2 linked regions of the Arabidopsis thaliana genome follow. The protein of the gene in region 2 interacts with the protein of the main gene of each other region in a pairwise test. Each region holds a gene or a part of one and is shown on either strand. Other genes may lie near its edges.

Region 1 (6,449 bases), on a different chromosome or scaffold from region 2:
GGTAACAAACAAACCTGACTTCTCTAAACATTGAGCAAGTCAAATAATCTAATGTTTGATGCCGTGTATAACAGATACAAGGGAGTGTACCGGACAATGTGGCTGTTCTTGTATTTGGAAACAAGCATGAAGTTCCTGGTGCTATGTCTGCTTCTGAGATCAGTAACAAGCTTGATCTCACTTCTCTTCGTCAAAAAAACTGGCAGAGAAACTGGTAAGAAGATAAGAAAAACCTTTCAAGACTCTAATTTTGCGATTATGATCGATTCTTCTGATGATCTGTTTTTTGATTCTTGCTTGCTAGGCATGTCCAGAGCTCATGTGCATTCTCTGGTGATGGTTTACATGAAGGACTCGACTGGCTGTTGAAAAATGCTGAAAGAATGTAAGAATGTGTCTTGGTTGTTAACGCGGAATCTCTGTACTGAAAATAGCCATCTTTTGTATCAAGTTATTAACCTCATCGTGCTTATTTGCTAGCTCCATCAACAACTTGATCCTTTTAAACGAGACATTACTCGGTCTATGACCTTTCTCAACCATCTCAAGCAAACATTTCTCAGCTTCTTCGACTTTAGCCAAATCACAAAGCAAATCCAAAAGCACATCTGAAACCAAACTATATGAACCAAAACCTTTTACCACCATATCTTCCCACAACCGCATCGCCATATCCACTTTCTCGTGTCTCTTAAACATCTTAATCAAGAACATACAGGATTGTGTATTCGGCAAACACTCATTCCCCAACATTCTCACATACAGCTCCCAAGACCGTCCCAAATCATTTGCCAACGATAAAACACGGAAAAACAGATTATAAGTAGTCGCATTCGGAGACAAACCCTTCTTCACCATCTCATCCACCAACTTATCCGCATCCCCGAGCCTCCTCGCTATGCAAAAATTCCTAATAGCAGCATTATAAGCCGCAACATCAGGATAACACCCATACTCCTTCATTTCCTTTAAAACTTCTCTAGCTTTATCAGGCTGACCGATTAACCCCAACCCACCTATAACAGTTGTATAAGTTATAACATCGGGAGTTTCCTCCTCCTCTCGCATCTTATCTATCAACTTATAAGCTTTCTCAATCTCTCTATCCTTGCAATACACATCAATCAAAGAGTTATACGTAACCACATCAGGTTTTAGCCCCTTTCCCTTCATTTCCTCGAAGAAAGCTTCCGCTTCTTCCGATGATTTCCAACCCGATAAAAGTATATTAAAAGTCTGCAAATCAGGCTGAAACTGATGCTTCAAGCTATGATACACATTCCTAGCATCAGTCATACTCTTCTCTTGGCAAAGAGTTCTCAAGAGAGCATTGAAACAAGCCGTGTCAAAGAAATCAGGAACCAATCTCTTAAACTTCCAGAAAGATTCAACAGTTTGTCTAACGGAACACAACTTAGCAACTCTACCTAACACAACTTGCATCGTCCTTGGAGATATCAAAGATCGATCCTTACGCTTAGTCTCAATCAAAAGCTCCCAAATTTGATCGAACTTTCGATTTCTACCGAGAATATAAAGCATTGTATCTAGAGAAAACGAAGAATGATAAAACCCTCTTATAGCACTAGCGTACCTGTAAAACTCTAGGGTTTGAATTGGGTTCCCATGACTAAACCTTACCCTTTTCAAAACCCTATCGATTAAGTCCTTGGACAAGTGGATTCCACTAGAGCTCAACGATTCCTTCAATTCCACTTGCAGATTTGATCCATTTATCATCCGGAAAACAGTTTCTGCGTCATCGCCTTCTTCTTCTACAGGAACCTTCGCATCCGATAGTGCCACGCTGTGAAGAAACGATACAGAGAGACGGAAATTGGAAACGTGGTGAGAAGATAAAGGCTTGAGGATCATCATCATTTGGAAATCGTCTAACAAAATCCAAAATCTGAGCTTTGGTTCCAAATCGGAGAAGAAAAACCGAAGCTCGCTCTCTCTGTATCAAACTAATTCAATAACCAGAATCATTCTACGTCTTTAGTTAGGTTAAAGACGAGAGAGCGGCAGAATCAAGCCGCGAACCAAAATCAGGATTTTGTGATTTTAACCAAATAAAACCGGGATATCATCACCCAATCCAATAGTGTTTTACTCGTTCGGTTTGGTGGTTAAACCAAATCCACCATGTCAAAAGTCAAATAATAACTACTACTGATCATTTGGGCCTGATGGCCCATAAATTATAAAATTATAGTGGGCTCATCGTTTAAGTCTCGTTTGGGGGTTGACTCTCTCTGAACTCTGAATAGTTTTTTGTTTCCTCTCAAGACGCGCAAAACTGTTTGGTGCACTAGTGTTGTCTTCATCTTCTAGATTCTTCTCTTCTTCAATCGGAAAAACTTGTTCGCCGTAAGAGCTTTCATTTTCATATCTCTCCTTTGCTTGAAGAGAGTTGGGACCAAATCGATTTGGAGAAAGAACAAGAGAAGAAGAGGTGGTTTCTCGACTCTGGACAATGATTGCAGAGGAGGCCCATTAAAACGAAGCCCATTCTCAAAGCATCCCATAAAATATCTACAGACGATATTTAAATTTTTCTTCAATCAGAGCCAAAGAGACAGTAAAAACCGATATCCTTATAAACTTAACGAAAAAAAAACGAAGAGAAGAGCTTATAGTGAATTCATTTTACCAACATTTTTCTTCTTTTTTCTGTTCCGTGGGTTTTGAACATTGGTTTCCGAATTTGGAAATTGGTTATTAAATCTAAGAGAGACTGTTCTTGCATAAGGTTGTGTCACAAGATATTTTGTAGCTCTTAAAAAACATGGACACTTTTTTTAATTGGTTTCTTGAACTGGAACAGAGTTGTTATTGTTGACCGTCTCTGTAGTATTTTCCTCTGACACTTTGAAGAAAGTGTAAGACAATATCAAGTTGTTGATTCCGTCCATTCTTGGATCAGTCTCAAACTCAGGATCAATGTAGAAGAAGACCTGCAAAACCAAGAAATTATAGGTTTTAATGGACTCTTGATTTTATCTGAGGAGAATATAGCCAAGAACAAAAGAGTAGTTACCGGCATGTCAATCTGCTCTCCAGGAAGGAGTCGCTGCTCCTCAAAGCAAAAACATTGTATCTTGTTGAAATAAACTCCTGCCTGAAGAAACCAATATAAGATTTTGAGAATCGACCAATCTATGTTCTATGGGAAGTTAATAGGATCCACTACCAAGGCTAATATATATACCTTCATGGGAGTGACATTGTATGTCGAGACTCCGGTTATTGGAGCTGAACTTTTGTTTTCAGCAGTGTAAAATGCGAGTGCACTTTCTCCTGGCTTTACTCTAACCTATAAGAAAGTACCAAAACCAAAAAGACATATCAGTTAAAAACACACTAATTCGTCTCAACATTCTTCTTGAGATATAAAGTCTAAACCTCTCTTTGTGTTGGAGTGAACTTCCACTGCATCCCATCTGCAACATCAGCATTGAACTGCACCACAATCTCCCTGTTTACCAGACAATCATAGTAGAGAATATAGTAAGCTAGCAAGTTCATTATAAACACATATAAAGAAGAATGGTGTTAAGAAACATATAAAGAAGAATGGTGTTAAGAACAGAGAAATAAACACCTTTCAGTGACGGTACCAGATTCTGAATGCCTAGCAATCTTCTCCTCAACAGTCTGTAGTATAAAGCCAAACAAAAAGACTGAGGAAGAGCCACTAAGTAGACTTGAAAACTCAAGAGGATAAAAATAGAAAGGAAGAAACAAAAACGATATATACCTCTTTGCGTTGAACAGTACCTCCATATCCAGTAGCTTGGCAGAATGTTCTATACAATGGCACAGCAGCGTAAGTTAACCCCACCATACCAAAGACAACAGCGGTGAGGTAATAGAGCATTTTCTGTGATTTGGTTTCCGATGGAGAGTGAGTAGAATACTGGCGATGGGCACTATCTAACATCGATTTAGCAGTAGCAGAGTGAGAATTCAAGCTCCATGAAGAAGAGCTTCCCCAAAATACTCTCTTGCTTCGGAGATAATGCTCATTGCTTTTACAAGCTCCATGAGTGTAATAACGAGAGCATAAAATAGTCCTACATCGACATAAACATTTCTCACAAACTTAATTCTATAAAACTGATAGAACTTCTCTTTGAGGAATTTTAACAAACAGTTCATGCGCATGCATAAAATTCAATTACCTTGGATACTGAGATGTTCGATGAAGGTTCTCTAAATATGAAGAAATTCGAGTTCCTCTACAAGCTTTCGACCACGACATGGCCGAAGAGAAATTATTTTAATCTATCGACACAGTGAGACACAGACACCACACAAAAACACTTATCTGCACAATAAACACGAACCCAGATTACATTACTTGAAAATTTCGAAAATTTGAAACCCAATTTCTCCCTTCCGCAACCTCCGGCGAGATCAATAATCGGGGGAAAAAAAAAAAATCACCCGAGCGTAATCGAATCAGAGGCCAAGAACGATGCCATGATCGATTAAAGAATGTAACCTATCAAAGAGGAAGCACGCGAAAGGAAAAGAAGAGAATAGAAGACTTACAGGTAAACCAGACGGCGTGCTTGTGTCGTCGGCGGGAGGGAGATCAAAGACGTCACTGGAAAACAAACAAAAAATCTGACGCAACAAAAAAAAAAAAACTTGTGGATTAAAAAAAAAGTCAACAAGTCAAACAACGACTTGTCTTTGTGGTCTGGTAAGAATAAAGATAGTCGGTTCTTTCAAAAAAAAATTATTCACATCCGTTCAGTCGAATTTTTAATTGTAAGCCCATATTATTTGGCCCAATAAAGCCCAAATGAAAATTAGAGTATACAAGGAATATTGTCATTTCATACTTAAATTTAACGTGTTTATTACATGTATCTAATTTTGGACAAATCTGCTGTCATTTAAGATTTCCATATCTCCGATGTTATTACGAAATTATTTCATTTATTGTGATGGATCTCTCTGTAATAATCTTCCACAAATAACTTCACTAATATACATTCCATAAGTTTGATCATCTTTTTATATACACAAGTCTAAGCCCAAAACATTGTTACAACATGTCGCCTAAAACTCGCCGATCGACGGATCTTGCGGCCACAATCCTCATGGCTATCGTGATCCTCGCATCTCCGATCATAATCAACGCCGAAGATTCTTCAGCCGAAGTTGACGTTAACTGCATACCTTGTCTCCAAAATCAACCGCCTCCGCCTCCGTCTCCGCCACCTCCTTCTTGTACACCCTCCCCTCCTCCTCCGTCACCACCACCCCCGAAGAAATCTTCCTGTCCACCATCGCCTCTGCCGCCACCGCCACCTCCACCTCCACCTAATTACGTATTCACATATCCGCCGGGAGACTTGTACCCTATTGAAAATTACTATGGAGCGGCTGTGGCAGTAGAAAGCTTTTCGGTGATGAAGCTGTTCGTGTTTGGAGTTATGGTTTTTCTGATTCTTTGATTATGATCAGAAATTATTTATGTTGTTGTTTTCGAACTTCTATAAGGTTTGCATAAAGATTTTGTTTACTTTTAACGGATTGGCGTATGCTTTAGATACAGTTTTTTTTAATAATTATAATCGATTGTGGATTAATTTTTATAGTTAGGGTCAGATGTGGTTCATATTATTTGGACTTGTCCCCTGCAACCTTTTATAAAACCTTCAAATGAAATCAAGCATACCTAGATAAGTAATAGCCGATTTTGTATAAAGAGGTTTTAATTCGTGTAATTATGATCGAGAGTACAACTGCAGTGGACCAAAGAGTCCATTGTGATCGGACGCGTTTCATGGATCATAGTTTCTACCGATCAGAAGCTCAAGTTTATTTTTATTTTTATCATAAGTCGTTTTTTATGATTGTGATGTACTGATGATGCATGACTTGTAGACTTGTAGTTGAAGAAAAAAAAGGTATAATTTCTCTTACTGGAATGTTTTAGAGCTTTTCTTTAGAAATTGCAATGATCCACTGATTCACATGTGAAATTAGTAAATTACAAAGTAAATGACCAAAACTCAATTTTCTTTTTCTTTTTGTTCATCTAAATCTATACATTTCACATGGTATATATTTGTAACAATCCAACAATCATATTTTCTTTTTCAACAAGCAAAAAAAAAATAAAAAATCTAGCTTTCAATGGTATGAATATAATCTATAAAGTCTTGAAAAACTCGAGACGAGGGACATCTAAACGGAGAGAGTATGTAGCTTTTTTGTAGTCACCCCATGTGAATGAATTATAACGTCTTGGATTTTCCGGCGACACCATTTTTGGCAACGGTGATATTTTCGCCTCTAACGGTGGAGCTGCAAAGTACATCGCCGACATACGTGGCTTCTTTGCTGTGTTTGCTAAAACCCTATGCCTCACGCTAGTGAATCTCCCATTCGTCAATGCCTATTTTCAAAGATTATTTCATTAATTAATT
Region 2 (9,091 bases):
TGAGGCAGAGAGATACTCTAAGCCCGGATCTGTTGCTCAGAAGAAAGCTTTCTTTGAAGCTCACTACAAGAAAGTCGCTGCTGCTAGAAAAGCTGCTGCTGAAGAGGCACTCTTGCTTCAGCAGCAAATCCCTAAACCCCAACCAGAGAAGTCTCCAGTTCAAGAAGAAGATATCAATGAAGGAGAAAAGAAAGATTGGATGGTCTCAAAACCGGATCTTGAGATTCCAAGAGGATCTTTAGATGTTTCTGCTCAATTGAAATTACTTGCAGAGAAAGAAGGCCGATTTAGTAATAGACAATCTGATGAGAAAGAGAACTGTGGCATGGCTGAGTCAGAGATCAATGGCCGCACAGCTGAAGAACAAGTAGATGAGGAGAAACCTATACTAAAGGTATATATTTATACATGTGTATTTATTAAGAGATGGTGATTAAGAGTTTTCTTTCTCTCTGACTTTTTTTTCTATTGTTCTTGATCTGTAACAGTCTGTGAAGAAGAAATCCAAAGATTCACAACCAAAGAGTAGTACTAAACCAAGAGTCTCTAAGTACAATTCATCGGAGAGGACTCCAAGTAAAAAGTCTAATAACAAGAGCAGCTCGTACACTTTCACGCCTGCAAAAGAGTTCAATAGATTGGTGTCCATCATAAGGAAGATTGATGGGTCAAGAGCTTCTTCTAAACCAACCAAAGACTGCAAAACTCCTCTCCGGACACCATCAAACAAGGTGACTGCATTCTTTAAACTGTGTTTCACTCAACCAAGTGCTTATGCTCTTGTGATGATTGCAGGTGTCTGCAAAGGGAATGGTTGAAGACTCCTTGTCCACACCTTTATCGAGTAACACAAGGTAAAAACTGAATTAACTCTTAGAAAACTTCTTTTTACTTCCTTCATTCACGAGTGGTTAGAGAAGTAATCAGGTGTTACAGTAAGTGCAGAGGGAAGATAGCTCCTAATTCTTCTGCCAAGACAGGTCGAGGAAGATGGAATTTCCTCCCTGCGGAGTAAGAAGAACTGATCTTCATAAGAGTTTACTCAATTCAAAAATGTATAATGTGTACGTACCTTTTTAACCAAGTTATTGGAAAACAAAAGCAGGACACCGAGCTGTTTTACACCGTTTGGCTTAAGAACAGAGGAGAGAGCAGAGAGAAGAAAAAAGGCAAGAATAGAGATATTTTTGGTTTCTACGCTTTTGTCTTGTCACTTACCATCATTTAACTGGTTCTTGTGTTTCAGAAGCTAGAGGGGAAATTCAAGGAAATGGAGACACAGAACCAGAAGGCGGAGGAGAGGAGTGTGGAGAAGGAAGAGAGTAAACTAAGGCAAAGGCTATGCTTCAAAGCGAAGCCACTTCCAAATTTCTACAAACAGAGACCAAAATCAACAGACCAAACTAAGAAAGTAAGCTTACTTTCACTAATCGCCAAATGTATGTGTGAAGTACTAAAAGAAAAAGATAGTAGCCATCGTTTCTGTGTCTGAGAGTTCTCTGTGTGGTCTTTGTAGGCTCTGTTACAGTAGCAGAGAGGTCTTACAGAAACTCCCTATCATCATCTTTCAGAGAGATATTGCGCTGACTTAGCGCCTGTGGCTGTGGGGAGAACTATCAAAACCGGATTGCCTCAAAAAAGGATTAGTTTGGAATTGTTGACATACTGTATTTGGTTTTATTCCAAGAAGGAATATTGAATTTTACTAGATTGCATTGTATGAATATTTGTAAACTTTGTTTATATATGATTTGAAAACACAAAATAAGAAAGAAAGGGGGCATTCCGAGAATTGAACTCGGGACCTCTCGCACCCTAAGCGAGAATCATACCACTAGACCAAATGCCCTCTTTGAAAAATTTGTTTTTCATTTAATTTCTAAATAAACATTAATAAGTTCACAATCATCAAAAATTACGTAATCAAAAAAAACATAGTACAACAACGGTACGTAATAATAATAACTCCATTCAATCTCTTGATTAATATAAATCACTGTATATAGTATAGTTAGTTAGTTAAAGAGATACGGCCTCATCTCATAATGTGAATCTTATGATTCCGTCTCAAGTTTAATTAAAAAACAAAACTTAGAGAGAGAAGATGAAGAATCCGGCGGCGGCGACAGTGCCGGCGATGGAGAGCTTCACATTAGTCGTGGCGCCACTTTTGGGTGACTCGGCGGCGGCGGGTCCATCAGATGAGGGTCCGTCGGAGGAGGGACCATCGGCTTCGGGGGTAGGAGCGGGTGGGGAGGAGACGGTGGGTGCCTCGGCGGAGTCACTGGGGCTGGCTGCAGAGTAGTCGTCTTCAGGGGTGGGTTCCTCAGCAACAGGGGATGATGCTTTCGGTGCGGCGGCGGAGGATTTGGGTGCAGCGGCAGGAGCCTTGGTTGGGGATTTGGTTGGTGAGGCGGTGGGTGCAGCTGAAGGTGCATCGGCGGCGAATACGGTGCCCACGGCCAAAGCCAAAAGGGCAACTACGACAAATAGACGTGCCATTATTTTCTACTTTTTAAATATAGTTATAGAGATTAGTAAGAGGAGGTGTCCAAAGCTAAAGCAGTATATTTTATTTGTTTGAATACTGCAGAAGCTTCAGATGAAGGAAAACAAGAGGACAATGAGATGGATTTATATGTTTTGAAATTTGAGAAATTTTAGGAAAATCGATGGATTTGAGAAGAAAATGGGCATCCATTAGCCTTATTTTAGAAGTGAGCTACTTTTTGTATATATTAATTTTTGTACGTAGCAAAAGATAGCGAGATCCTAAAAATTGGATTTCTATTAAGAACAAACGATTGGGCCATGAATTTAGTTCAGGCCCACATGAGATGTGTGATCTTTGTTTTGGAACTTTCCTACTTACCACAAACACTAAAAACTCATCTAAAAACAGAGGATGGATATTCAAGCCCACCACAAAAGGTTGTTGATTCAAAAGGAGATGGCGAGAGAGATCCCAAATTGCATAAAAGATTACAAATCAATAATATGAGGAGCGACATCCACATGTTATTTTGTTCGGTAAATAGAAACAGTTATGTACTCTTTTCATCTACATACGTATTATACGTGTGTGAGTGTGAGTGTGTGGTTTTTACTCGGAGCGAACTCTATCCAACCTATCCACACTCTTCCTCCCCCTCTCAATCTGGTCAACGCTCTTCCGAGTCTTTTCATGGCAGTCAACGCTCCTCCGCGAGCGATCAAGTTGATCAAACGAGATCTTGAGCTTGCTGCTGCTGCTACTCATCTTCGACTGACTCTTTGGTGGCTTCTCTTTCTCTCTACGCTCTGTGCTCTGCCTCGGCTTCACTCTCCTGTCCATACTTCTCCTCGGGGGCGCATCTCTCACTCTCTCTGATTGGTCGCTGCTCATCCTCGGACATGGTAATCTCTCTACTGTTGCTATGAACTTCTTGAGGTGTCTAATGTATTCAGGGTAGTGTTCAAGATCACAGTGGTTCCCTCCTTTCACCCAGAGCGGCTCGTACTTGTCTTTGCAGAGTTCCCATAGTTGTTTCCCATGAGAACAATCCACTACCTCATCCGAAGTTCCCTGCACATATTTGAAACTGTTTGGATCCAAAAAGCTTATCAAAAATTCAAACGAAAATGTATCTATCTGAAACCTGACTTACATGAATGATGAGAACCGGGCAATCGACATATGGGATTTTGTCGATATTCTGCGGAAAAACACACACTCACACACAACAAGCTTCTTACATTACAATTTGGAGAATGTGTAGGATTAATAGAAAGAATTGGTACGTGGTCTACCTTGTAGATGTCGAACCAGTAGGTTTTCTTGACGGAATACATAACTCTTAAACCGGAGAGAATGGGGCTGTGAAGGACGACGGCTCTAAGTTGAGGCAACCGGGAAGCAAGATCTAACGTAGGTCCGCTGCCTACAGATTGGCCGTAGAGGATGACACCTTCCTGCTTAGAGCCAAAGGTTTCTTCAAGACACTTATAAACAGCTTCGATATCAGCATACGTGTTATGCTCACTCGGCTACAATCAATCATTTAAGAGAAAGAAAGATTTTTGAGAGTTGGTCCTAAAACTCATAATGGATCATCAGACCAATCAGATTGATGGGGTAAAGGACAAACCTTTCCAGTAGATTGTCCATACCCGGAGTAATCGTATCTGCAACATCACAACCAATAATATCAAAGACTGATTGATTCCAAGCAGATCCTAGCCCAAGTTTCCTTTTTTATTGGGGTGGTGAATAAACACTCCAAACATAAACAGAGCAAATACTAGAAACAGAGCTAGAAACGTGAGAATCAAAACAGGGCAAATCCTATACCAAATCAATCAAAAGAAGCATACAAAGATAACATTTTTAAATCAGCATCATAATAATAAAATCAATCGAATTACAAAGGGAGAGAAAGAAAAACAGACCCCATAAGATTAACCTTGAGATGGATGCTAAGCTCAATGAAGAGCTCATACATCTGTCCCAGATCGGCGGCGTTGCCATGGGAGTAGAGGAGCGTGGAGGTAGCCATCGGATGCCTCACGTACATGCCCACGATCTCTGTGCCTCTCCTGGTCCGAAGCTTTACGATTTCTACGTTTTCGCGGTGGGGGAAAGGGCTGAGAAGCAACAGTCCGGTGAGCTCGTCGGTCACCACCTTGTAAGACGGTGGACTCGGCGGGAAGAAGGCAAACTTCGCCGCCACCGATGACGTCACCCCTCCCATCTCCTTCCTTCCTCACTCCGTTTCTCTCTACACAGCTTGCATTTGGGTTTGGTTTATTGAGAGAGCTGCTATGTTTTGAGATTGAAGCTTTTCATCTCCTTGGGAACAGAGAGAGAGAGAGAGTATTAAGCAATACTAACAAAGTGGCTTTTTTAACGATTACTAGATTACTACATTAATCTTAATTGTTGCTTTTCATAAAAATTGATTTACGCTAAAAAATACTTAGAAGTACTTTTGACTTAAATAGGGGTTCGGTATTGGCTATAACGTATCTATGAGAATTAACGTAACAAATTATTTATTATGCGTAGTAATAAATTATAGGTAATTTTATCTCAATTCATCCCTAATATCATAATCTACATTTTGTACTTTTACATATTTTTAACTTATATTTGACATAATACGACGGCTAATCGAATAAAAATACAACTTGCTCATTTGAAAACTCTTTTGTACCTAATTCTCATAGATATGACATGAGCCACCCCTAATTTATGTATCAAAGTCAAGCAGAAGTGGACAGACCATTAAAATTAGCCTTTGTCCCCCACAATAAGAAGGGTTTACATAGATTTCATAATTCAAAGAGTACAATAGAGTTACAAACAAAGTGTTTTCCTAAGATAGACAAGGTGGACAATGGCATGTGGGATGATATGGTTGCTATTTAGATAGAACCATGCAATTCATTGGTTATGATTAGACATATGCCATATCTCTTTTGACATTTACTTAACTTTTTGCCTTTATTATTTAGACTAATCCATCAAATTACTTTGTGTTAAATACTAAAAAAAGAATGAAAGTTACAAATTTTGTGTCTAATTATAAAAACTAGCCCAAACGATAAGAGTAGTAACAATCCATTCTTTATTTGAAGATGGACCACACATGAAGATATGGATCATAACAAGGAAAATAAAACATTATATTGACGACATGAGGGACACATTGAAATGCTATAATTCACTGGACAAGAAAATGAGATATCAACAACTAACACAAAAAACATTTATAAGAAGATAAGCCAATAAATGACAAATTGATCAATTAGAAAATGATAAGAGTATATAAGTAAACCATTAGAAACTGGAAAGAATAAAAAAGAGTATGCTGTGGTGTGCTTCGTGGGGGTCCATTTACTAAAGTGGGATATATAAACATTATGAGAAGAAAGAAAGCAAATAGTTATATTTTGAATTGGTCTAATTTGACATATTCAAAATTGTTGTATTCATCAGGGTTAATTTTATTAACAAAATAAATTCAACATTTATCTATGCTATTAAGAGAAGAAATTGTTAATTATTGAAAATTATTAGGAATACTTCAATCGAACATGTCCCACAAAGGCCAAACCACACACATGGAATGACCAATTCTCTCTCATACAAAGATATTGAAATTCAGAAATTATTTATGAAAAACTATATAGAGAATTCAAATTACGTAAAACAAAAAGAAAAAGCAGCGGGAAGAGACGTGAGCTTATTGCATCATTTAGAAGTTGTAGTTCTCGTCTTCGTGGAGCTTTTCATCGTGACAACAAGAGAAGCTCATGTACTTCTCCATCGGACGCTGACACTCGAAGCAATTCATCTTCTCCGGAATCCGACCGCTCCGAGCAGTGATGTGGAAATCAAAGTGGCCGCAAGGTTTTCCGGTTTCACGGAGGACCTCATCGTGGTGGTGGTCGGACATTGCTTTGGTGTAGCCTTTGGTCGGGACGTGGGTTTTCCAGGTCCGGTCGTAAACACTCATAGTCCTCTCTATGGCACCGTGAGCGATCATCACTATCTCAGGTCCTTTGCTCAGTAGTGCCCATCCTCCAAGCTTGTCGTAGCTTAGTATCTTTTTGATTCCTTGCATCACCTAATCAACGTTTTCAAACACACAAAATCATTCATTAACCAATTGAACCGAACCGAACCGAAATAATTGAAAACCCTAGCTAGTCAACTCTTACATCGTCGTGATCATCGGCTTTACCGAGTTGAATCTTGGAGTACAACATGCTCTCGAGCCTAGTCCAGAAGAACCACATCAAGGCAGGTTCGGCCCAGCTATGGCTCAGGTTTTCAGACCTGATTACTTCACTGATACGCCTGATCTGTTCCCTGTGGCTATGGTTTCGTTTTCCGACGTAAGCCATCTCAAGGTTCACGTTGGAATCTTTGGCCGTTGCTTTGGCCGCCATTGTGAATCTCCTTATCCAGTCCAAGTCATCTCCTCCGTACAGGAAAATGTAATTATCCGGTTTTATCTGCAAATCAGACCCATCATTGTTCATTAATCACGCCTCGTTCTTGAATGAATGTAATTTAGGTCAAACCCTGCCTGCTCTGTTTCTAGAGTTTCCAGGCCAATCATAAAAAGAAAAAAGGATGAGACTTTTGAAATACCCAGTTGAAAATGACAGAGTCGATGCCGTCGACGATGAGGTTAAGGGAAAAGGTCTCTCTCCTCCAGAGCTCTTCCTCACGAGATCTAGTGAAAGGGAAAGCTTCAGTGCCCCAAATCCAGATCATATGAAGCGCATTGAGGCTAGCCTCGTTGCCTTGTGGATCAATCACCACAAGTATCGGCTTGTTCATAAAATGCCATCTCCCTCTCATAAACTCCACCACATGTCTCTCTATCAGCTTCGGGCTATCCACTGAATACCTGACCCCCACAAAAAAAAATAACTTCCAATTATATTTCTCCATCTTTCTTTACAACTACTAGAATGTGTGTTTTGAAATAAATGTGTTAGATACCATGGCATAGGGTCACGGAGATCCTCAAATTTCTTCTGTAAAATCGGAGATCTTTCAAAATCTTCAATAGGATCCACTACTGGAACCCACACAACCTCGTAAGGCATATGACTCTTACCATCGACCCCAACCAAGTTCCTCCTTGACTCTGTGTAGATTTGCTCGAAAATCGATAGCTCATCTTGTAGTATGTTGAGATCAGAGATGAGCAGCAACACTGTCTTCCTCCTCAACACATCCAAGTGAACCTGCAACATTCATATAACAGAACAGAGATTTCTTAGTTAAAATCTTTTGTATTGATGAACCTTTCTATAAAAAAAAACCTAACACGAAAACCTTTCTCTTGGTCAAACCATCTTGCAATGGAGTGATGTGGGGTTTGGGATGAACCAAGGCCGTGAGAATCTTCATGTTATCAATGTGAGTGGTGTCGAATAGAGAATGCAACACCTTTAAGGACTCTGAGCTCCTCTGCTTCTCTGCAAATTCCAGTCTTTGTCAGTAAAGAAACAGGGTGATGAATAGCTGTTGAATGGGACGGAACAAACAAACAAACCTATATGCCGGTAACAAAGCCTCAAGGTCTCAGCGAGATGGTCATGTATGTTCTTAAGCTTGTTAGCTAACATCGATGTTTCCCATAAATCCATTTGCGTGTTCATCATCCTGATAAATAAAGTGTACGCGTTAGCGTGTGATCAATAGAAAGATCGATTAAAACAAAGTTAATTATCATACTCATGTCCCATAGCAGTGATCATGTTGATCTGAGAAATGCAAGCGATGACGCTTCTTATGGTCCAATAGACAGCAATTGGGATTGTAGAGAGGATTCTCGACAGCTGAGGAACGTCTGGTGTAATGTACCGATCAGGTAACTCGCTGAGTTCCACTACACATGCCGTGACGCTCTTCATCTCTCGGATGAGATCGTTGAGCCCTTGGGACACAGACTCTAGGGTCACTCTGTTCTGCACAGGGACGAGCTTGAGCATAGCTAGGGACTTAGCAAGCTGGTTCTTTGAGTAGAATTGGACCAGAAGCCAAAACTCTCCATAGTTCAACGCGAACGCTGCTAGAGTCAGCACGAGCTTGCCGTCCCACTGGAAGCTCGAGAGGTGTTCGAACACGGACATTGTGATTTCGTGTGAATCAGATCCCGTCAGAGACTTATAGGCTATCTGAAAAGAAGAACAGAGAGAGAACCACGTAAACAGTGTATTGCTTCTGTAACAAGTTATTGCTGGTTACGTGTACAACAATCTTTAGAGAGTGTGGTTTATAAGAGCATCTATAACCACAAAGATTGATATCTAGGGGTAGGTGGAAACTGCGCAACCTAACCGAACCAAGATGGTCAACATATTTATATTTAGACTGAATATCCTGAAACTGAACCAAAACACACCGAATTTAGCCCGAACGAAACCTAATAACTTGGATGTTATTTTGGTGAGCCAAAAAAGTCTAAACAAAGAATCACTTGAATTGTGGCAAACAAAAAGTGAATGTAGCTATACCTCGCAGGCAACACGATCGATAGCATAGGAGACACTATCAAGAACGCTCATCATGCTTGACTGCATCAGTTTA

The links.
Region 1: the proteins of AT3G01690 (region 2) and AT1G02410 interact in a two-hybrid assay, tested with the Arabidopsis thaliana proteins (one large-scale study listed by BioGRID).

The regions. Positions count from the first base shown.
Region 1 is NC_003070.9:489,115-495,563, reverse strand, and holds AT1G02410 (cytochrome c oxidase assembly protein CtaG / Cox11 family), read right to left. Parts: upstream 4,705-6,449; 5' UTR 4,558-4,704; exon of another isoform or gene 4,331-4,557; 5' UTR 4,265-4,330; coding exon 4,185-4,264; intron 4,077-4,184; coding exon 3,761-4,076; intron 3,658-3,760; coding exon 3,605-3,657; intron 3,479-3,604; coding exon 3,406-3,478; intron 3,317-3,405; coding exon 3,212-3,316; intron 3,122-3,211; coding exon 3,041-3,121; intron 2,958-3,040; coding exon 2,802-2,957; 3' UTR 2,601-2,801; downstream 1-2,600. Other genes in the region: ARFD1B (ADP-ribosylation factor D1B), read left to right, coding at 1-1, 75-214, 305-389; AT1G02420 (Pentatricopeptide repeat (PPR) superfamily protein), read right to left, coding at 406-1,881; AT1G02405 (proline-rich family protein), read left to right, coding at 5,067-5,471; GA2OX6 (gibberellin 2-oxidase 6), read right to left, coding at 6,173-6,418. UniProt on the Arabidopsis thaliana protein: Exerts its effect at some terminal stage of cytochrome c oxidase synthesis, probably by being involved in the insertion of the copper B into subunit I.
Region 2 is NC_003074.8:252,392-261,482, reverse strand, and holds AT3G01690 (alpha/beta-Hydrolases superfamily protein), read right to left. Parts: upstream 5,189-9,091; 5' UTR 4,731-5,188; coding exon 4,429-4,730; intron 4,165-4,428; coding exon 4,128-4,164; intron 4,027-4,127; coding exon 3,790-4,026; intron 3,696-3,789; coding exon 3,648-3,695; intron 3,566-3,647; coding exon 3,104-3,565; 3' UTR 2,787-3,103; downstream 1-2,786. Other genes in the region: AT3G01710 (TPX2 (targeting protein for Xklp2) protein family), read left to right, coding at 1-394, 489-731, 796-854, 946-1,011, 1,106-1,169, 1,247-1,492; AGP11 (arabinogalactan protein 11), read right to left, coding at 2,092-2,502; SEOR1 (sieve element occlusion amino-terminus protein), read right to left, coding at 6,237-6,608, 6,703-6,999, 7,139-7,400, 7,496-7,743, 7,835-7,977, 8,055-8,164, 8,237-8,679, 9,019-9,091.